Linked DNA regions of Tamandua tetradactyla. The protein of the gene in region 3 purifies or fractionates together with the protein of the main gene of each other region. This does not show direct contact. Links are inferred from orthologs where the notes say so. Each region holds a gene or a part of one and is shown on either strand. Other genes may lie near its edges.

Region 1 (6,990 bases), on a different chromosome or scaffold from region 3:
ATTAGGTGGCCGCTCCATGCCAGACCCTGAAATCAGAAGCTGCCTCAGAGGCAAAATGAACACCACGTGATGCTGCAAATGGATTATTTCGTGGACAAATCTAAAAAAAAAGACATTTCTAAAGGTACTTTTGCAAATTCACTGCAATCAAAATAAAAATCATTCCTTTAGATCAAGCTATATAGTACTAACTTCAGAAAAACAAAGGTGCCTCATGTCCACGTGTAAATGCAGAACAGTGACCTAGAATAAGGCATAACTGAGATTTCTTCTAACAGAGTTAACCCAATTTCAGTATTACAGCTTTGCCCAAGAAGAAATTACATATACTTTGGTATTTATAGAATAAAATTCCAATTCATCCTACTATTTTCACAGCTGCTAATTTTCCAAGAAGTGCCCTCCTTAGGTTCAGCCCTTCGCCTCCCAGGGGCTCCACATTGGCCCCCATCACCACCATCTCTCCGGTGCTTAACCAAACTCCCTTTCCCCAGGTTTGGGTGGGAGAAAGGATGCACTCTGGGAAACTTTTTTTATTGTACGCAGAGGTTAGTGCTCTAGATCAAAGTGGCCTGGATACTGAGGAGAGAGAAATAAATGATAATCCTTGGCCTCAGGTCCCACAATCTAACAGGGAGACAAGAAATACATACAACCAGTAAGTATGATAAGTGTTACTGAGATTACAAAAATGCTCTGAAATTATGTAAGAGGGGGCTAGAGAGTGGGGCTGGGCAAGGACACCTGCTTAAGAGACGAGGACCCAGCCAGACTAGGACAGGGAAGAAAAGAGAAAAATATCCTTACTCATCTCAACTGTCAATGCTGTATTTTTCAGAAGATTGACTGCAGTTTTCTGTAGACTAAGAATATGACTGCAGATTATTTCAAGATACTTAGCACTTTATTTCGGGAGCACATCAGATACGAATACAGACCCACCCAACTGCAATACTACTTTGGAACAATCTCATTTGGCCATGAACAGATGTCTCTGTATCTGCCAACAACACACACACACACACACACCACTCCAATTAATGGACCTGGGCGGAAGCCCTAGAAAGCACTTTAGTGTCTGACATTCCAGAGATGAGAATACCACTTACTGCAGGACGCTGGCAAATCCCTGTGCCTCCTTTTCCTAATCTTATTACAGCATATATTACTTTAATATGATCACCTGAAGACTGTTGGTCTCCCTGAACTGGAATATAAGCACCAGGAAAGCAGGGACTTGGGCTTTATGGCTGCCGTAGCCCACCCACTCAGCACAATGCCTAACCCTTAGGAGGTGCCCAATATATTCTGTATTTGACTGAATGAAGACTAGTCAGTATAAAGTAACACACCCTCTGTTCCCAAAACCCTAGACCTTAACAATGAACTATGACCCGACAAAGTGTGTAGCTCAGCAATACAGCAAGGTTATCACTTTAAAAGACTTAATTATCACCTTCCTTTTGAAACTAAGATAACATTTGGCATATCTAAAAATAATTAGCCCAAGAGATCTGCAAAAATTGTTTTAACATAGTCTCTTTAATATCAACGCTTTTCTAAAATGTGCATTGTGAGAGAATACAAACATCCGTTTAGGTAAATGGACTCTTCAATGATTCATCCTTCAATACGATTTCTTTAATTCTGTTGATTTTAAGTCCACCTAATTTCAGTCATTTTTAAAAACTGTTTCTCAGCGTGCAGTAAATCTAGAATCTTCTTTTAAAGATTTTTCCCGATCCCATTCTCCACTCCTTAAAGCAAGATATATAAAACTAACCACCCTTGGATCCGAAGATTGCTTGGGGATTTCCTATATGCAATGAGGCACATAAAAAAAAAAAGGCTAGTGAGACTTGAAACAGAAGGAAAGATTTCAGAAATTTTCAATAATATAACCACTTTAGGCCCACTTTACAAAGAATTAACTTCTTTCGGGGATGACTCAGAATTATGATCCCTAGATGTAACTCATAAGGAGCTCATCACACAAATTCTGTCCCATTATGTGGAAACCGTAGTCCTGGTGGCCAAACATAAAAACGCCAAGTTTTAAACACACCCACATTTTTGCTTAATTAGGGACTTAAAACGGACATTAGCGGTTCTCCCTTAAAGCCTATCTGAAAGCCCTAACAAAACAAATACAATACGCTTGCGGTGACGTCTCTGCACAGAAATACTTCAAGCCACACACACACAGATGTGTCTGGTGTATTAAACAAATGACAGGAAAGCGAACCCTGCTTTTCACGATTGGCGTGGATTCCAGGGGACAAGCCCGCCACCTGGACACATGGCTGGGAGCGTGAGAGCTCATCGCTCTCACACTGAGTGGAAAATCCAAAGATGTCCGCAGCACTTATTTAAAGTTTCCACCTTCACACACCCCCTGCCCCCCAAGAGCCGGGTCGGAGGACTCCGCCCGGCGAGGAAGTGGGCACTAGGCTTCCGTCCGCCGCCCCGGCAGGACTCCGAGCCTCTGCCCGTCCCCGCGAGACCCTCCTTCCTGCCGGCGGAGCCCCCCCCGCCCCGGGGACAGTTCCCGCTCCGCGCGCGGCCACTCTAAAATGGAGACCGAGCCGTTGGCGCCGCGTCCCCCCGCCGACCCCCGCCCGGGCCCGCGCCCCCCACCCGCCTCCCACCAGACTCCCGCCCGGTCCCCGCCCGACTCCCGCACGCCAGCCGGGGGCGAAAGCCCGCAGCCGCCCACCCGCCTCGGCCGGCTCGCCTCGGCCCCCCGGCAACGCCCGGCGCCCTCCTCTCCCCGGCTCGAGGCCGCGAGCCCCCCGGCCCCGCGCGGGCCAACAGCCCCGCGGGGCCGCGCCACCCCCGCCACTAGGCCCCGCGGGCCGCCCCCGCGCCGCGCGCCGCACCTACCATGGTACAGATGGAGGCGAATTTGGAGACTGTCATTAGGATTTCCATTCGCCCAGCGCCATCTTCCACCCAATCACAGCGGCGGCGGGCGCGGGAGGAGGGAGCCCGGCCGCTCGCTCTCGCCGCAGGCCCGGCGGGCCCGAGCCGTCGCCGCGCGCCCCCGGACCGAGCCCTCTCTGCCGCCGAAGGGCCGCCGCCGCCGCCGCAGGCGCTCGGGCTCTCCCGGCCTCGGCCTCCGGCCCCGGCTTCTCACCCGCGCAGGGCGCAGCCGCTGCCTCGGGGCCCACGCCTGCCCGAGAAGCCGCCGCCGCACACCCCACCCTGCGCGCCCGGCGAGCGGGCTCCGCCCCGGCCCTAATGCCCGGCGGTCCACAGCCGCGCGGCCCGCGCTCCCTCCCGGCCCGCCCCGCGCGCGCCCCGCCCCCCGCCGAGGCCCCACCTCCCCCGTCCCAGAGCGTTAGAGCCGGGACTCCCGGGTCCGCCTCACTCCGCGCGCGGCTGGGGACGGGGTGGCGGCGGGCACCGCCTCCTGTCCCCGCTTCCCGCGTGGTCCTAGAGACCGCCATCAGCGGTCCGAGAAGAGTGGCAGCAAGGGGTGCGCGCGGCGCGGCGCGGCTGGGTGAGCGGGGGGCGACCAGGGTCAACCCTGAAGGGGCATGACCCGCAGCCCTGTCCCCAGGGCTCAAGCCAGCTAGCCACCACTGCCGAAACCGGAGGCGATGATCCGACCATTCCGGGTGGGGTGAGAGGAGACCCCCTTCTTTCAAGACAACCCGAGTAATACAGCATCCCATGCACATACCAAAATGCAAGGGATTTGGTTTTTTGTGGGGTGTTTTATTTTATTATTGAATAATTATCTGGATGAAAGTACTGTAACTTTAGTAAATTAATAAAAATGAAAGGCAAAGAAAAATACAGAGAGAAAGAGAAAAGATGAGTAATAAGGGACCCTGGCTTTCTGCCTGTCGGCTGGCCTTTAAAATGTGTTTATAAATACAGTATCTAAATATATTTACACTAGACAACAGGGCCTGTATAAAAGGAAAGACCTCAACCCAGCAGTGAGATGATGCGACCAAACCAGAAGTTAGATCCCACGAGTGAGAGATGCCCTAAAGCAGCAGTTAGCTGGTGGGATATTTCCTCTTCACTATTTTTATAAAATTTACCGTCGCACCTGTGCTTCAAGTCAGACAGCTCAGCTGTGTGTCTTCCTTTATGAGAAAGTACTTCGAGTGAGAACTTTATAAATTATTGTATTAGAAAGGTTGTGGTACTTTTCAAGTGGCAATCCGTGGTGATGGGGAACTTCCATTTCAGCCGGGCTGGGGGGAATTCAGACAAAGCTCTAATATCTGGTATGCCTCACCTCATAGGCTAAAAGCATTTCAAACCAAAACATAGCATTCACACACAACGTAGGTGAGAAATAAATTTCTGTTACATGAGTGCTGTTTCCATAGTGATTCCCATTATAAGCTTGTGTAGGGGAAATTAGCTTGAATATAGCCATGTCCCATAGTAGCCAGCCTGGTTCTCCATGGAAGCCGTGGCCCTGGCTGTCTGCCCTGACACCAAGCCAGCAGCTAGGTCCATTTCTTATGGTCATACTTACAGGTGTGTAGCTTCCCTGCCTAGACTCGCAAGCAGCGCCCACTTGGTTTCTTTCTTGCTTTATGCTACTCACTGTTTGGACAAGAGTCATCACATCGTAGACCCTAGGGGCCTGCCTGGGCCTCGTCTTCCACGCCGCTGGGCCCTGTCCATCTTGGTAAAATGTCTGTTATACATCCTGTCCTTCCACCTGCTGTTTTGTCCCAGTGAGCAGATCGAATGTGCCAGAATTTGACCTCCTCCTCCTTCGATGTCGCCCACCACCATGCCTCCTTGTCCTTGAAACCTACAACGTGACAGGAACAGAGGCCACTCAATCCAGCTCTATGCATACATTTATAGGATAGCGAGGCCTACTTAATGGATTTCTGATGGCATCATGTGGAGTCGTGTCCAGTAGAGAGCCATCTGAATTCACAGACAGGACAAACATGTCTTGTCGCCCCAGCTTAAGGCTGAGTAGAAAGACTCAAATATAAGAAGAGAGCCCTTTCTTTGCCTGGTGCTGTGCCTGAGCATTTTCCATTATGTGTGATGCAGCTGGGGATAAGACTTGCCTGGAACCCCACACTCTTGCACCCAGAGCATGCAAGGAGTATACTGGGTGTGGAACACGTTTTACCTGCAACTGTCTGAGCTTCACCAAGAGCCTCATTGTACCATTTCTGGGCCTGCCTGAATGTACAAGCATTAAAATACCCCCCAAATACCTCCTGGGTCAAGTAAGTGAACAAACCAAGGCCAACCTTAATCTGTTTGGTCAGTGCTTTTATTTCAAAGTTTTTCATTTGAAAACCTTTATGCACTCCTGCCCTCTCCACACCCATTTGCCCTGGATCTAAAATCCAGGTGTCTCCCCTCCTCTACCCTGCCTCTAGACAGGGAATGAATTGACCTTTCCTAGTGGTATTGATTAATACTCCCAGGTCTCCAAGCAGAGGATGTCCAAAAAAAAAAAAAAAAAAAATCCCAGTGATGGTCTATACTTCTTCTTAGGAAATATACATGAAAGTATTGAGTAGGGTAGTTGTGGGGTATGATGTTTACAATTTACTCTCAGAGGTTTAGAAATTAGATGATATTCTTTAAATAGAGTCAAGAGGCTATTCTGGAGGCTACTATTATGCAAGTGTCAGCTAGATACTGCTAACTGCCATAGTTTGCCAAACCCCAACCAACACCATCCCTACCAACCCTAAAGAACCCCTATGGCTCTTTCTGAGATTCTACAAAAGTTCCATGCACTAGGATTACTTTCCAGAAACCTACAACCTCCAGATGGGTTCCTAGGACAGATAAGTCTTGAAACGCAGGGGGCCCAGCCTCTCTAGAACATCAACTAATTCCATCCCCCTATCCCATATTGTCGACAACCCTTTCCAACATGAAAACGTTAGAATGGGCATAGTCCAAATACCCCTAAAGATTGGGAGAAAGATCAAAGGAGAAGGAGGAATTATAACAGAGAAGATAGCATTTAACAGATGAGTATGACTGCTGAATTATTTTATCGATATTTTAGTCTCCAAAGTCTTGGAGCACATAGAAGGAAAAACCTAAAATTGTGGTACAGTAACCCATACCAAAGTCTGAAATCTGTTCTATCATTACTTGTTACAATGTACTTTGACATTTATTGTTTTTTTATATATGTTATATTTCACACAAAAAAAATGTTTTTAAAAAAACTGAAATGTGTGCTCATAATTTACAATAAACATTTATTGATCATCTAATAGTGCATTAGAGAAGTCTCTGCCCTCAGGAAGCACAAAGTCCATTGGCATAGGCAGATGACTATTACGGTAAACGAGATGAGAGAATGAAGGACCAAGTGGTATCAGCTCCAAGAGAGTGTGTTCAGCTCTTCCCCCAGGAGGGGTGAGCTGGGGGTGGGGGGTGCTTCACAATCTAGAAGATTAGGTTGAGCAATGGGGAGGGATGGGGAAGGCTGGTGGTTTTCTAGGCAGAGGGAAAGCCCCGAAACCTGTGGAAGGTATCTATGGGGCGTGTTGCAGGGGGTTTGTGGAGAAGAGTACGAAATGTCCAGGGGACAATCCAACCCACAGTGACCCTCTCTGGGACTTCTGCCGTCATACCCATCCATAATAAGTGGCAGAATCAGCCTACCTTAAAACCTGCTCCACACGACAGTCCATATGGAATCCCAGTCCTGCAGATTTCAAGGAGAATGAGCAAATTTCCAAGAATAAGCAAATTTCAAGGAGACATCAAAATAATAACAGGTCTGCAATAGGAGACAGCCTGCTTCCTGCTGAGTATAAAGTAAGCCAGAATACTTTCTCTGTGTACTTGGGTCCTCGTTAATGTGGGTCCCACTAGAGGAGACTAACAACACGCTGGTGAGGATAACACAATCATTTCAACTGTTTTGATCCTGTTCAAAAGTGGCTGAGCTTGGCTGGAGAAGGGGACTCCTTTCCAACTGCTTGCGCCACCCACTCTTTTCTTCTGTGTAGAGAAGGAGTG
Region 2 (7,838 bases), on a different chromosome or scaffold from region 3:
TAACAAAGAGGCTGGAGGGAAACATAGAGCCGTGTTCCAGTAGCCATGTTTCTTGAAGATGACTGTATGATAAAGCTTTCTCAACGTGACTGTGTGATTGTGAAAACCTTGTGTCTGTTGCTCCTTTTATCTACTTTATTGACAGATGAGTAAAACATAGATTAAAAATAAATAATAGGGAGAACAAATGTTAAAATAAATTTAGTAGATTGAAATGCTAGTGATCAATGAAAGGGAGGGGCAAGGGGTATGGTATGTATGAATATTTTTCTGTTTTCTTTTTATTTCTTTTTCTGAATTGATGCAAATGTTCTAAGAAATGATCATGATGATGAATATACAACTATGTGATAAAAAAGAATATTCATATTGTATGTTGATTGGTTTTATTAATAAAAATTTTTTTTTTAATGAAAAAAAAAACCCAAAATTTACAACTCCTAACACTAAAAAATAACTCTTGTTTTTTTTAAGGATAAGTTATTTGCTCTGTTTTAAAATCAGAAAATAAAAAGAAAATCACAAAAACAATCATTTACACTAAAAAATAACTGAATGCAAAGTCATTCATGGAAAACAAAAACAAAACAAAATTACAACACCTAGGAGAGAACTGAAATGTCCACTACTTACTGCAAATATATTTAAAAGACAACGCCACATGAAAATGAAATTTTACAAAAATGAAGTTAAAATGCTCAAATAAATTATGCAGGTAAAGGTAATTTAAATGCTTAGGAGTTGTCATAAGATCTTTTTCTGGGGGGATATTGTTTTGAAAAGCTCTTAGTTTTACCCTTCAGGGAATAAAGTGTCCCACTAAAAGAGAACACTGTTCTAACCATACTTTCAGGCAAGAGCCCTGTTTTATGATGCAAACCAGGACTAATATTCACATAAGGCTTGCCATTAGAATGCCTCAAAAACAAAAAATATATATAAAAAGATAAAGTTTTAAAAGAAAATGTTTTAAAAGGGTAATGCCTATATTAGTGATTGCTATTGCTAGTGAATTTAAGTTTTTAAGCACTTTGCATATAAATATAAATTTTATATAAATAAATTTTAATAACTTAAAATCTAAACATATTTCCAAAGAAAACAGGCCTAATGCGAATGTCAAGATGGCAGCCTCCTGTTTGACAGTTACTCTAAATGCTTATTTTAACTATATTTTGCATCTACTAAGTATTTCAGGGCTTTAAAGTTCATCACAATTATTATATTATCAATTACAACATATACACTTCCACATGCTCCTTTCAAAAAGGAGAAGATAGACGTTAAATAACTTGTCCAATAAGTCAGTTACAAAGTAGGGACTAAGACTAAAATTTCATCTCCAAGACTACTAAACACTTCACCCCCTTCCCAATTCCCAAAGGGGAAAAAAGGTCAAATGATTTATTTCCTGTAACTACCAATGGCATACTCTAAACACAATAATACACTTATTATGACAAACGACAAACGCTAACAAAGAAGATTCACCTTGAAAAGAACGAGAAAACTTGATACATTTAGTTAACATTGTCACTTCCCTAGTTCTCATAACCAAATAAAAATTCTGTACTGGATCTGGAAATACTGAATCCTAAAGAATGTTCAGTCTTCAATATGCACCAAATATTTTCATTCTAACCGAACACTTGTAAATTAATCTTGTATCACCTTTTCTCAAACCGAGGTACTGTGGAGTGCATTAATTTCCTCACTCTTCCGAGTCAAATCGGAGACCATAATCTCAAAAGTAAGCAGTTCTCAGTGAGAACACAGTTGTATATCTAATGCGGGCGGGGGGGGGGGGTGAGGGGACTAGCTCTAATGAACTGCTGCTTTTAAAGAGATATTTTAAAGGATGGTTACATGCTTCACAGAATTACTGTTAAATTACCCGCCAAGAAGGGTAGTTCCTGTCAAGTAGCTTTTAAGCCATATCCCTCCCTGTTTGGGACATAGTCTGACTTGTTGGACAAGATTAATCTGAGCACGCTCACACAGAACCCCTGTGAACCAGTTTACTTGGTTGGAAACATCATTTCGATCTCCCAACTGTAAAATAATCCTCTTTAATAATCTCTCAGAAAAAGGCTTCCTCGGAGGAGACAATGACAGCCTCCTCCATCAGATGTTTTTGGAAATAGATGTGTTAAAACCACAAGGAGAGGCTCTGAGGAAGTGTCAGTGCGGCAGCAGGTGGAGTAGCCCTTCGTGCCGAGCAGGTCCTTTCTGACCTAGTCTCAGTCTCCGGTTCCCAATCCCAACTCCGCCTTACAGAGCTTCCTAAGCAGCCCGGAGCCCGTTCCCTAAACCAGAGCAAGACTCCCAGACCTCCGGGCAGGCGAGATGGTCTGGGCTAATAAGACGGCCACCCTACCTCTTCCGGGGACTCGCAGGCCGCTCACTGGCCATGTCAGAGCCTGACTGACCTGCTGGAGGGAGGCAGCTCTTTCCTCTGAGGCCTCCCAGCCGGAACCCCACATCCCACGGACGCTATCCACCTCCCCGAACCCTTCGAAACGCTACCATCACTACCCTCCTTACTCATGAATCCCCTTTCCTCAGAAACACCCCAGTGGAGTTACCGGCCCACTCAAAAGTAAGAGCGAAGGCTACCCCTGTCGGTCACCCTGGCCCCCGCTGTCACTGCCTTGTTCCCGGCCTCTGCCCACGCCGCAGGCGAGCCCCGGCGACGCCCGGGTCGGTACCTTGCGGACCCCCTTGTAGATATAGAAGTAGAGCTCCCGGCCCACATTGAAGCAGAGGCGGTCGCCGTTGCCAGACTGGTCGTTGAGGTTTACGAAGGAGACGCGGACAGGATTGGATCCCTGCGAGTTGAAGGGCACCCGGTTGGGGCGGCTGTACTCCGAGTGCGGCAGCAGCTTGTACAGACCTTCCCGGGTGGTGAATTGAGTCTTAATCTCGTTCATCTCCTTCCCTCCTCCCTCCGTCGCCATCTTGGAAAGCAGCGTTCATCCTGCCCTAAGTGCCCGGATCACGCCCACCGCGCAGGCGCCGTCCCTGGCTCTCGCTCTTCCCCACCCCCCACCCCCCGCCTCTTCCGTCTAGCCCCTCCCACCCGCGAGCAGCCCCGCGGAGCCGCGCGGAAGGAAAGGGGTGGTCTTGCTTACCACCCGACTGCGCAGGCGTGCTCACCTGGCGCGCTGTGCGCGAAGACTCAGGTGGGGGACGGTTTCGATCCGCTGACCCGCAAAGAGCTCCTCTGCGTTCGGAGAGAGCCGTCAAGGGGAAGCAGCGACCGGGGTGGGGTCAGGAGTACTGAGGTGAACTTGGGGGAGCCTCCTCAGCTGCGGCCGGCGTTGGCGTGAGGGGGCCCCAACGCTGGGAGGGCGCTGCTGCGCCCCTCCTGGACCCGCCCTCGGCTGCCCGGGGACGGTCCAGCCCGCGGGGGGCTGAGCCGGACCCGCATGTCTATCCCGAGGTCTGGGCACCTCCTAGAGTCGGTCCTAGAAGGTACCGAAGGACTAGAGCTTCATGCTTCACCATCTTTTTGGGAGGGTGGGGTGGGGTATAAATACATATGGCATAGGTGTTTGCAGGTCAAGCATTGAATTCCTTTCTGCAGTGAGCAGTGGCTAATTTTAAGGAGAATAGTTCGTGTTGGCGTTTCTGGTTCTTAACTGAAGTTTGTCTTCACCAGTAGTTGTTCAGAGAAAACTGGGGGGCGGGAAATGGCTTTGGGCACCAGAGGCTGAATCTTTGCAGGATTCACTTATGCTCAATAGTTGATTAAGAGCTCTTAATTAAAAAAAGAAGTCACTGAATTATTTTTAAGGCCTTAAGTGAAAATACTAGGAGATCCATAGGTATAGTTGTATGCATAAACTAGATCTAGTTATGCAGGAACTTGCATGGGTGTTAAATTAAGGTTAAACAATCACCATTTTATACCTGGATTTCTTGGAATGTTGCAGTAGAATAAGAAAGGTTCTAAGTGACAGAAATAATCTGATATAATTCCTGGAGGAAAAAAGCCAACATTGATTACACCAAGAATGAACTGTTTCTTCAAGTTCAAATCCTAGCTAGAGGGTCACAAAAGAAACTGAGGAAGGTAAATTCTAAAGTGAGGGTGCCTAAATCATAAATATCTTATGTATTACAAAACAAGTGAAAAGTAAAAACTGCCAATGATCTCATAATGAATTTGACACTAACATCCTGCACCTTTGAGCATGTTGGCAAAAAAGCACTAGACTAAAATCTATTTACTTAATAAATCCCTAAAATATGTAAAAAATTTTGTTACAGTTGTTTTCATGGCATCTGCCTTTCTCTAAAAGTCAAATAGATATCAGAAATCTTTTAAAATACCAGGGTATGTTCTATGATACCATGGATTTAACCCAATCTGCTATAATTGTGTTTTACATCAAAATTTTGTATTTTTAATGATCACCTTGAAGAACTAGTGACATCCTCAGTCATGTATAACCAATTCACCTGTATTCCCTAGTTATCAAGAGAAGGAAAAAGGTATATATATTAAAAGTATAACAATGCTTTTGGGGGGTGTGCTGGTTTGAACGGATGTTTTAATCTAAATCCCATTTCATAAAGGCAGAATAATCCCTATTCAATACTGTATGTTTGAAACTGTAATCAGATCATCTCCCTGGAGATGTGATTTAATCAAGAGTGGTTGTTAAACTGGATTGGGTGATGACATGTCTCCACCCATTTGGGCGGATCTTGATAATTTTCTGGAGTCCTATAAAAGAGGAAACATTTTGGAGAATGAAAGAGATTCGGAGAGAGCAGAGAATGCTGCAGCACCACGAAGCAGAGAGTCCACGATCCAGCAACCTTTGGAGATGAAAAAGGAAAATGCCTCCCGGGGAGCTTCATGAAACCGGAAGCCAGGAGAGAAGAAGCTAGCAGATGAAGCTGTGTTTACCATGTGTCCTTCCAGATGAGAGAGGAACCCTGACCCTGTTCACCATGTGCCTTTCCAGATGAGAGAGAGCTCTGACTGTGCTTGCCATGTGCCCTTCCACTTGAGAGAGAAACCCTGAACTTCATCGGCCTTTTTGAACAAGGTATCTTTCCCTGGATGCCTTAGATTGGACATTTCTATAGACTTGTTTTAATTGGGACATTAGCTACTAATTAAATTCCCCTTTTTAAAAGCCGTTCTGTTTCTGGTAAATGTATTCCAGCAGCTAGCAAACTAGAACGGGGGGGGGGGGGGGGGGGGGACGACTCAGCAAGCAGCAGCTTGAACGCAAATTTTTTATTAGCCTTAGATTAACCAGAACATTCAATTACATAAAAGACCTATAGACCTTAAGCATTCTATTACTGTTTTATTCAGCATATAAATTCAAATAATATTAATATGTTGTCCTATCTGGAATTTTTTTTTTTAATGCTGTATGGTGGGGGTGACATTTCGTTATTTTTCCATGTGACTGTCCTGTTATTACAGCACCATTTGTTGATTTTTTTTTTGGAGAGGGGGATAGTGCACAGCTGGGAATTGAGCATGGGTCTTCTGCATGGCAGGCAAGAATTCTGCAACTGAACTACTCTTATACCATCCTCCCCCAATTGAAGCATTTGAATAATCTGAGTACTTCTCTCTTATATTTTCTTTTCCCAACTCCCAAGGATTCAGTATAACTAGGCCTAATGTAGTTATATAGTTCTGAATTTCATTTACAAACCAGGCATTTCTAAATGAATTTGTGCCTCAAACTGATCAGTCTGTAAATCTTATCAGTTCCCTTTCCATTTCCTCAAACTTGAATCTAATGGTTTCCTGAATTATTTCCTTAGTTTCAGTTTTCCTCCTATAAACAACTATGAAATTAATTTTTAAAAGCACTGCTTTTTCTTAAAACACTGCTTTAAACAAAGTCCAAAAACTTTCAGTGACTTGGCAGTATCCACAGGATTTAAGTATCCACCCGCAATCTCAGCCTACCCCTTATTTACCACATAAATCCTCATTACTGTCAATCTGTAAACAGCTAAAAGCTGTCACTCTTAACTATTTCACTTCTTCATAGGCTGTTCTTCGAGAACTAGTTTATGGCCCATCCTCACCAAACCTTTCCCAAAGTCTTCTTGGTGATATAATATACTGTACTTTAAACCAAGGATTCTCAATTCAGGATCCATGGCTGTTTCCAGGAAGTGTTTTAAACCTTTAATTGTATTCAAAATTATATGTATATGTTCACTTAATCAACAGAGTATAGCTTTCATCGGATTTTCAGAGTTAAAAATCTCGCCCTAAAGTTAAGAATCACCGGGCTAAATTTCTATGACATTTCTCTGAGTTTTTGATTGTCAATTATATAATATGCTGACTACCATTCTAATGTTCTTTTGGTGTTTATTAGCATATGCTAATATATTATGTTGATATTTGTCTTTGAATGCATATACCCAACCTATCAGCCAGATTGTGAGCACACTCAAGGATAAGAGAAACCTTGTTAAAATTTTTCATATCCTCAAACATTTATTTAAGAGCCTCCAATATGCTACAATGTTCTAGCCTTTGGGATGCATCAATAAATAAAAAAATTCCTTTACTTATGGAGATTGTTCTTGCAGGGGATAACAGGAGACTGAGGAATATATAAATAAATAAATATATATATATATAGTAAATATAAATATATAGGTTAGTGCTAGGAAAAAGAAGTAGAGCAGTGTAAGGGGCATTAGGAGTGTGCTGAGTAGTTTGCAATTTTAAATATGGTGGTCAAAATAAGCCTCACTGAAACTGTAACCCTTCACCAAAGACCTGAAAGAGGCAAAGGAATGGGCCTTGGGAAGAGCTGGGAAAAGAGCAGATCAAGCAAAAGCCTCCAAGGCAGGAGAGTGCCAAGAATGTTCAAGGAATAGCAAGGTCTTTGAGGCTGGCCTCTAGCCTAGTAAGAGACTAACTGCAATGATCCAGGCCAAAGGTAATTGATGGTGGTTTGGATAGGTATGGTAGCAATTGAGATTGAGAGTTTAAGAAAATCCTTGATAAATTCAGAAAGTAAAACCAGTAAGATTTTCCAGCAGATTGGATGTGGCTTGTAAGAGAAATGGAGGAGTCAAGAACGACTCCATGGTAGGCATAGGCAATTGGAGGATGAAGATATCACTAATCGAGAGGGGGGAGTCTGGAAAGGAGCAAGTTTTGAAAGGAGGATCAGGAGTTCAACTTTGAAAATGTTGGTATGGATGTCTATTAGGCATTCAGAGAAAATGGCCAGGAGGCAGTTGAATGATCAAGTCTGGAGAGAGATCTGAGTGGCCGATGTATATTTGACAGTCATCAGCACATAGATGGTATTTAAAACTTTGGTCCCCCTCTTTTGTTGCTTAGATGTGGCCTCTCTCTCCAGCCAACACAACAAGCAATCTCACTACCCTCCCCCTCTGCGTGAGACATGACTCCCGGGGGTGTGGGCCTTCCTGGCAACATGGGACAGAAATCCTAGAATGAGCTGAGACTCAGCATCAAGGAATTGAGAAAACCTTCTCAACCAAAAAGGGGAAGAGTGAAATGAGACTACGTGTCAATGGCTGAGAGATTCCAAACAGAGTCGAGAGGTTATCCTGGAGGTTACTCTTACACATTAAGTAGATATCACCTTGTTATTCAAGATGTAGTGGAGAGGCTGGAGGGAACTGCCTGAAAATGTAGAGCTGTGTTCCAGTAGCCATGTTTCTTGATGGTGACTGAATAATGATACAGCTTTCACAATGTGACTGTGTGATTGTGAAAACCTTGTGTCTGATGCTCCTTTTCAACAGATGAGTAGAATATATGGAATAAAAATAAATAATAGGGGGATCAAATGTTAAAATAA
Region 3 (7,967 bases):
ACTTGACTGCCTCTCCTTGAGTCTTTGTCCATGTAGGAACTAGGGTCCTGAATGGTTCGGGAGCAGGGCACAAAGCATCCATCACCCTGTGTTTGCTTGGGGCCTCCTCTTTAGGGTACCTCCATGAACCCTGTACTTGTTTGGATACTGAGTAGTCCCAGTCTGAAAAATAAGTTCCACTCTGGCAAATGAGGCATTGACCAGACCCAAGGTGTGGCAGTGGGAGGGGAGAGGGAGCCTGCTTCGAGGGAGACACAGGGTGGCAGTGACCAGGAGTCAGGCTTTTGACTGATACAGCGCAGGTCCAAGCCCTGGCTCTGCCCTTGCTAGTGGGGTGACTGTAGACAATTTGTTGCCCTCTTGGCGTCTCTGTTTCACTATCTGTAAGATGGGGACGATGATGTCATCCACCCTTGGAACTTTGACCAAGATAGAATGTGGTCCTATAAGAGGTGTGTTACTTTAGTTACGGTTAGTGAGTAACTGGAGGTAAACTTGGGGGGAGGTTAGTCGAGGTTGATGCTCAGGCTTCCGTTCGGGTCAACAGGGGGCCAAGAAGCCATGGGGAATGGGGGCTTGGGGGATGATGCTGCCTCAGCTCTGGATGGGCTGTGTCTCTGTGCTCCTGGCAGACTGCACAGAGGTTCAGGAGCCATTGGATATGTGGGCCTGGGGTTCAGGAGCCAGTCCTGCTGGGAGGCAGATTGGAGAGTTCCGGGCAATTGTGCATGGGATTTCAGGTGAGGGAGAGAGAACAAAGTCTACCAGGAGCCCTTGAATCGCAAGTGCTTTAGTTTGCATTTCTCAGGTGATATAATTGTATAGAGAAAGCCCAAGGGACCCCTCAGAGCCAAGGGAAGAAAAAAAAAAGAAAAGAAAAAAGCCCTTCTAAGTTTTTTCTTTCTCTTTTTCTTTTGAAATTTGAAATCCCCACCAAAGCAATGACCCTGATAGCCAATCAAACCTCTGGCTCATTACATTTGACCTATACAAAATAAAGTCCACCTGCCCTAAACTCACCTCTATATGCCAGACAAACCCTGCTCGGATCCGTAGAAGTCAAGCTAACTTCCTTCTTATGTCTATAAAAATCGTTGGCTATCCCTAGAACCCAAAGCTAATCCTGTTCTGGCTTCCTTTTCCACAGCAGAACTTTGGTGTCTGGAATAAAATGCTGCAGTCTTCAAACTCCCCTCCCATTTGTCTTTCACACCAGAAACAGTCTCTCAGCCAAACGTTTTGGGGCAAGTTATTTATCTGGGAGGTGACTTCCAGAAACACTATCAGGATGGAAAGTGCCTGAAGCCGGGGATCCTTAGAGGCCAAGCTGGCAAGGTGAGTCTCCAAGTGGCACAGGAGAGTTACGGGGTAAGGGGTTAAGGAGTTGAGAGGCAAAGAAGGAGGGGAAGGAGCTGAGAGGGATGGGCTCTTAGGTCAAGTCACATCTTGGCCTGACCTGTGAGGGGTGGAGGTTTGAAGCAGAAATGGCTCTGCAGAATTATCCCCTTTCCAAGTCAAGGCATAGCCTTTTGTACCTAGAGTTGGGCAATCAAATACTGTCTGCAAGTTCAGTGGGAGGGGGATGGGGTGGGGGTGCCGGCTGTAACTTCCTCGTTGAGGGGCTTTTGCCAGCAGAGGGCTATTTTCCCCAATAGGGGGCAGAGGTGAGCTGTTAGCAGCCGCGTCCACACCCGGGATGATGCTGGAAGGGGGTCTGGGTGCGGAAAGGGCAGCATCCAGGAAAGGAGCAACACGGGATGTGAAGGCTAAAAGTTTACTAGCGTGGATAACTGCAGCTCGATCCTGCAGGGGCCCACTCCCAAGAGATAGCCGCCCAGGCTGCTGGAGCTGGGAAATTTTACACTCTTAACTCCGGTAGGTTTTCCTAGGGGCCGTTCATTTTTGACTCCTTTGCTTGGAGGTCAAAAGCCGACTGGAAACTAGAGGAAGCCCTCAGACGACCTCCTCTGCTGGGGGTTGGTGCGCGGCAGCGCCTGGAGTCTGTGGGGTGTGGACAGGAAGCCCAGGAAGCAGGGAAGGAGCAGCCAGAAGGCTCAGAGGAAAATCAGGCGCACAATGAAGTCACCTGATTCCTCTGTGCGCGCGCTCCCATGGTGAGACGTTTAACCCGAGTGTGCTCATCCACAGAAGGCGGACTTGCCGAGCATCAAGGCCAGCTCTGAAAACCCCAAGGGGGATCGATCTCTCTGTGGATCCCCCCACTTTCCCCCCACCCCCGGCCTTGTCTCAACTGGGAGGCGCGGGTGGTCCTGGCAGTGGAGGGCACACTGGCGCCTGGCATTAGGGAGCCCTGCCCTGGAAAATAAGGAGCAGAGACGCTTTTACTGATTAGTTAAATCCAGGATAATCCCGGCTGATGAAGACCCATTCGGACCCCTTAACGGATTCAGGGTTCCAAAACGACTCCGGGGGCTGGTCCAGGGCGGGGCGGGGCGGGAACGCTCCGGAGGGCTCAGCCTCTGGCAGCGGATTTGTTTGTGCGTGTGGGGGCAGGGGTCTGGGAGAAGGTCATCCTCTACCCCGCCAGAGCGCAGAGGCATCTCCTTTCCAGGTCTCTTAAACCCACCAGAAGCGACTAGACGCGCTCCCCGCTCCTTGACCCATGCTGAGCGAAGCCCTTCGCCCTCCTGGCTCCAGCCGCTGCGCCCCCACACCCCGGTGCCAGGGCTCTGAGCCCATCCGGTCCCACGCGCTAGTCGAGTTTTGATTCCGGGCAGCGACCTGGATTAGCGCGAAGCGGGGCGGGGAGGCAGTGAAAGTGTCCTCGGGTGCTCCGCCACGACGCTGCCAAAGTGGAGGCACCCTGGGGTTCAACACGCCTCTTCCCTGCGGGTGGAACCGGTGGAGGCGTTAGGAACGCTCTGGTCCAGGGTTCCCCTTAGAGCCCCGGCGTGACAGGATTTATAAGCCTTAGATACTCTCATCAGTAAGATGAGATTTTAAACTCCCTCCTCCTCCAAGGGGTTGGAGACCTAGGCCCACGTGATCAGTCGGCTTGGGGGGCCCGAGGTTGCGCCCCGGAATCTCTGGGCCCTGACACATCTACTTGGGGTCTGTCTTTTCTCGGTGATCTCCTGCTTCCACTAGTAAAAGTTTGGGGGAGGGAAACCCCAACATCCCTGCCTGGGCGAAACGTCGCGGACGGCACGTCCAGGTTGCTAGCAACTTGTGCTTGTTCCCGCGCGCAGGCGGGCGACCTCCTACACCCTCCCTGCGCGGATGACCTCGCTCGGACCCTTTAGGGCCGACTGTTCCACCTGCCCATTCCGGACGCGGACGAAATGTGTGAGATCTAGCTCTGTCCCTTGATTGAGATCCTAAATCTGGATTTACAAACGAGTTAAGAACGCTGCCTGGCGAAAAGCCAGAACACCTCCGCTGGGGCCTGTGCCTCAATGTCTTCCCCTGAACCCAGAGATAAACCTTGGGGAGAAATTCCTGGCTGAGCCCAAAAGGATTGGGTGTCTAAAGCAGCCCACCAGCCTGGGCGAATCAAATGACAGTTATTCCAAAAGAAAGTTATTGTTTTGCTAATCCGGGGAACAGCTTGTGAGGGGAGATTTGGGTCTTCCTTTAATAATGGAAAGTTAATGCACAGTCTCTCGTAATTATCTTTATCAGAAGCCCCTTGTATAATCTGCATGCTTAGCTGCAGAGGACCCAATCCAAGGCGCAGTGAGAGTTCCACTTTACGTGCCCAGGCGAGAGCTGTGCGCCCGTGAGCCGCGCCGCCTCATCGAGGCTCTGACAGTTGTCCCTTTCCTCGCTGGGTCACTTCGGACTGTCAGGCCCCCGAGAATGGACTGCAGAGGGAAGGATAGGCTCGGGGGGAGGTGGGTGGAATGGACAGCGAGGAAGGCAGAAGACAAGAAACAAAAATAAACGAACAAACAACAACAGCAAAAAATGAGACTAAATTTAGACCCATTGTCTCTACCAGCGGTCTCAAATTCCGGTGGGTGAGCTAGGCGTGGCTTGACCACGTGTTTTGTTTGGCCCACAGAGTCTCCTAAAAATAGCTAAAATTTTAACAAATACCGGTATTTCACAGGGTGATCAGGCTGTTGATAGTCATAAACCCTGACAGTTTATTAGCCCGGGCACCGAGGGCTGCACCCCTGTAGACAGGCCCTATTTTTCAGCCCCGCCCCGCTTCCCACCTTTAGGGTTGTTCTATAAATACTGGCTCACATGTATACCAAAAATTCACTGTTTATATGAAATTCAAATTTAACCGGGCCTCTTCTATTTTTATTTGCTTTGAAATCTGACAACCCTATCCTCATTGTCTTAGCCTTTCACCCCGTCCCCTTCCAGCTTGTCACCTGCCTCTGGTCTTTGCCCTTTTCCCACTCCGTCGGAGATTTTTGACACCCCGCAGCTGGGCCGCTAGAGTGCTGGGGACAAGGAGAGGGATCTGGCTAGAGGGCAGAGTGGCAGTGGACTAAATAAACGTTTTCACCTTTTTTTTTCCCCCCCTTAGGGATCCCCTGGGAAGGCCTCTTTGGCTCCTACGGAGGAGTCGGAGCGTCCAGCGGCAGTGGTGGAGGTGTGGCTGGAAATTGGGGTTCTAGGCATTAGTGGGCTCCTAGGCAGGGCAGGAGCCCTTCAGGGCAGGTGGGAGGGACATCCACCTGCAAAGTCGGGGAGCGAAGGGAAGACCACTCCCTCCGGGGTCTGAAACCCGCGGCTTTTAGAGCGACCGGCAGACAAGCGGGCTTGTTGTCCCCTCCCTCCTTCCCTTGCCCAGCTGGAGAGGAGAGGGGAAAAGGAGGGGGACTGAGGGGACTGCAGCTGGGAGGGCGGTGACCTAGGGGAGGGGAACCGGTGGCGTCCTCATCTTGTGAGGTCCGAACCACGGACGCGCCCGCGCCCGACGCTCCCGCGCCCAGCTGATTGGCGCTCTCGCGCCTTCCGCGCCCGACGGAAGGTCCAAATGTATAAAGGGTCTTCTGAGCTGGGCCCCCAGCGCAGAGAGGACCCGGAGGGGGTCGCGCTTCGCCGGCTGAGAAGACATGACCGGCCGAGACGCGCTTTCCGACGGGCGCGCCAAGAGCACTGTGCTGGTACCCGGTAGCGCCCGTCCCGGCCCGCGCCCGCGGGGCTTCGCCATCACCGACTTGCTGGGTCTGGAAGCCGAGCTGCCGGCACCGGTCGGCCCGGGGCCGGGATTGGGCTGCGAGGGCCCGGCCACGCCCTGCCCGGACACTGGGCTCGGCGGCCCCTGCCTGGCACGCGGTACCCTTCCGTTGGGGCTCAGCTTCCTCTGCGGCTTCGGCGCACAGCCGTCCGCGGCCGCCGGGGCTTCTTGCCTGCTCCTGGCCGACGTGCCGTTCCAGCCGCCCGGGGGCCCAGAGCCAGCCGCCCCGCAGACCCCCGGCCGCTCGCGCCCACCGGCCCTGCTCGACCGTGAGGAGCGCAGCGAGAGCGTCTCGGCGTCCGGTAATCAGTCCCCTCGTCCTGCACCTCACCCTGTTTCCCTGGGCTTTGGGCAGTGCTAGGGTAACACACTGTCTCCTCCCTACGCCCTCACCCCCAGCATCTCGATTCAAGGAAAGGCGGGACTCCAGAGCAGGGTCCCCTGGCGAAGGAAGAGTATCCACGCAACCTCGACCAGTCCACGCCCCATCGTCTCCTGCCCAGATGCCATCTTTCCCGGGATCTGGCCCCGGCTGTGCTGCATGCACCACCACCACTGGGTTCCGGGCCTACCTTGGGGGTCCCTGAACCCATCAACCAGCTCCTTTCCCGAGAGTCCCGGCGCGAATTTAGGCCTTCAGGAATAGCGTGGGTCGAGAAAGCGGAGGGCTGTCTTGTTCACCAACAGAACAGCACCTGGTACCCAGTGGGCACTCAAATGTTTGCTGAATTGATTGAATCATTGACCAGTCCTTGGCGAGCGCGCTTGCCAGAAGTCCTGGAGCTGTCCGTTCACGGCGTGCTGAAAACAGGGTTCTGGGTTTTTCCTTTCCTCAAACCCCCTACACATAGGAAGGAAAGCTACCCGGCGGGTTTCGTTGTACTTATGCATGGCGTTTTGTTCGCAACTCATCTATTGCCACAAAGAATTTGCCACGGGGAAGGAGAGGGAAGCAGTGGTATTCTATAAAGGACAAGGGCCAAGAAATGGAGAGGTGTGGGGTACGGGGGAAGAAAAGGGAGAATTATATAAGAAAACGTGGTCTGAGGGAAACTATGTCATAGAACCTAGAGCTGAGCATCCAGGCAACCAAGGCAAAAAGGGTACATTGGTTCTCTCTGACAATGAAAGAAAACAAGCCAGGTCAGCAATTGGGTGAGGATTTGCCCAGAAATGAGTTCTAACAGGAATCCGTTCATAAGTCTATATGTAAGATAATACGAAATTCCCTTTTAGTTGCGTCACTAAAAAGGCAGAATCTACTTTCACAGTATCCATTCTTTTTTCTAAGAGAGCTGATAAAAGGCAAAAGGCAGCTAAATCCTAGTCTGTTGGGCATTTTTGGAAGAGTGGCATCATCCAATAGAACATGTGAGCCAGTTGTGTAATGAAAATTTTTCATGGCCACATTAAAAAATAAAAAGAAGTGGGTGGAAAAGATCTTAATACCATATTTTATTTGACCCAATACGTCCAAAATATTATCATTTTTCATGCGATCAACATAGATTTATTAATGAGATGTTCTACCTTTTCTTTTTGTAAGTCTTTTAAATCCACTCAGTATTTTATATCTATAGCAGGTCTCACTTTGGACTAGCCACATTTTAAGTGCTCAATAGCCATGCAAATGGCTGCCAAATTGGGCAGTGCAAACATTAAGTATGCTAATCCAAGCATACAGGTTTTTTTTGTGAGCTAATTGATATAGGAGCAAAACTGATATTTGCCTTTCTTCATTAAATTGTTAATATGTTGAAGACATTATGCCTTATAACAATGAATGGCAATACCTGTCTCACTTTCCTTTCCTTCTACATCTTTTGATATGACAGATTTAAAAAGATAAAGCCTAGTGGAGTGGTTATTAAATTTTAGATTGCATATGAATTCTCTGGGCATATTTGTCAAAAATGAGTTTCTAAATTTGTAGGGCAGAGCAAGGGGGTGAGTTTCTGACTAAGATTCTGATGATACAAACCTCAGCCTTCCCTATGAGAAAGCCTGGTGTTGGGGCGGAGGTAAGGAAGGTGGAGGCAGAGGGAAGTGGATGAATTGGAAGCTGTTTGGGGGAAAGAGAATGTAATTGGTGACCAAGTAGCTTTGTCATTTGTGATGTGAATCCCAGCTTCACCATTTGTGTGACCTGTGTGATCTTGGGCAAGTTACTTAACCTCTCTGTGTCTTGGTTTCTTCATCTGTAAAAATAGGATAATAATATCCCATTTGTAGTTTCTTTATTTGATGAAGAATAATTGAGATAATTGCCTGGACAATGCTAAGCATTGTTTGATGCTTTAATTGTTCCATGTTTATATTCCTGGACAGGCTCACAGCTCCAACCCCTTGATTCAAATCTGGAAAATAACATGAAAAAATACACTCAGCTTTAAAGTCCTCTCTTTGTGTCCCAACAGATGAAGACAGCTTGTCAGAAGGCAAGAGTGACCTGAAAGTGTCCACCACCCCAGGCAAGCGGAAAAAGCGGCGGCACAGGTAATGTGCTGACCGTCCTCTCCATCCCATCCACTGCTGTCTTGGGACCCAGCCCCCAGTACTGTGGGACCAGCATCTGGGAATTGATGATCCTGGATCATGACAGCCCAGAGGCCTCCTAGTGGGAATGAGAAGGGCAGAGGGGCACGTGAGAACATAATTATGCAATTTCAAGTAGGCTGCTGGACAATCTCCATGGCATTTCTAAATTTTATTTTGGTGCCTGGTTCAGGAATTGAACCCAGGTCTCCTGCATGAAAGACGAGCATTATACCACTGAACCACCCATGCACCTCAATCTTTATGGCAT

What was found.
Region 1: the proteins of VSX1 (region 3) and USP12 purify together in Homo sapiens (affinity purification with mass spectrometry; 3 studies listed by BioGRID and IntAct, counting the BioPlex papers as one, with this or other methods). This does not show direct contact. The link is inferred for Tamandua tetradactyla from reciprocal best matches to the Homo sapiens genes VSX1 and USP12.
Region 2: the proteins of VSX1 (region 3) and WDR20 purify together in Homo sapiens (affinity purification with mass spectrometry; 3 studies listed by BioGRID and IntAct, with this or other methods). This does not show direct contact. The link is inferred for Tamandua tetradactyla from reciprocal best matches to the Homo sapiens genes VSX1 and WDR20.

What each region holds. Positions count from the first base shown.
Region 1 is NC_135330.1:192,409,158-192,416,147, forward strand, and holds the start of USP12 (ubiquitin carboxyl-terminal hydrolase 12), read right to left. Parts: upstream 3,020-6,990; 5' UTR 2,932-3,019; coding exon 2,884-2,931; intron 2,789-2,883; exon of another isoform or gene 2,717-2,788; intron 1,817-2,716; exon of another isoform or gene 1-1,816. UniProt on the Homo sapiens protein: Deubiquitinating enzyme that plays various roles in the regulation of the immune response and inflammation.
Region 2 is NC_135338.1:63,627,597-63,635,434, reverse strand, and holds the start of WDR20 (WD repeat-containing protein 20), read right to left. Parts: upstream 3,020-7,838; 5' UTR 2,958-3,019; coding exon 2,709-2,957; intron 1-2,708. UniProt on the Homo sapiens protein: Regulator of deubiquitinating complexes. Activates deubiquitinating activity of complexes containing USP12. Anchors at the base of the ubiquitin-contacting loop of USP12 and remotely modulates the catalytic center of the enzyme.
Region 3 is NC_135327.1:35,045,153-35,053,119, forward strand, and holds the start of VSX1 (visual system homeobox 1), read left to right. Parts: upstream 1-4,949; 5' UTR 4,950-5,036; coding exon 5,037-5,463; intron 5,464-7,578; coding exon 7,579-7,657; intron 7,658-7,967. UniProt on the Homo sapiens protein: Binds to the 37-bp core of the locus control region (LCR) of the red/green visual pigment gene cluster. May regulate the activity of the LCR and the cone opsin genes at earlier stages of development. Dispensable in early retinal development.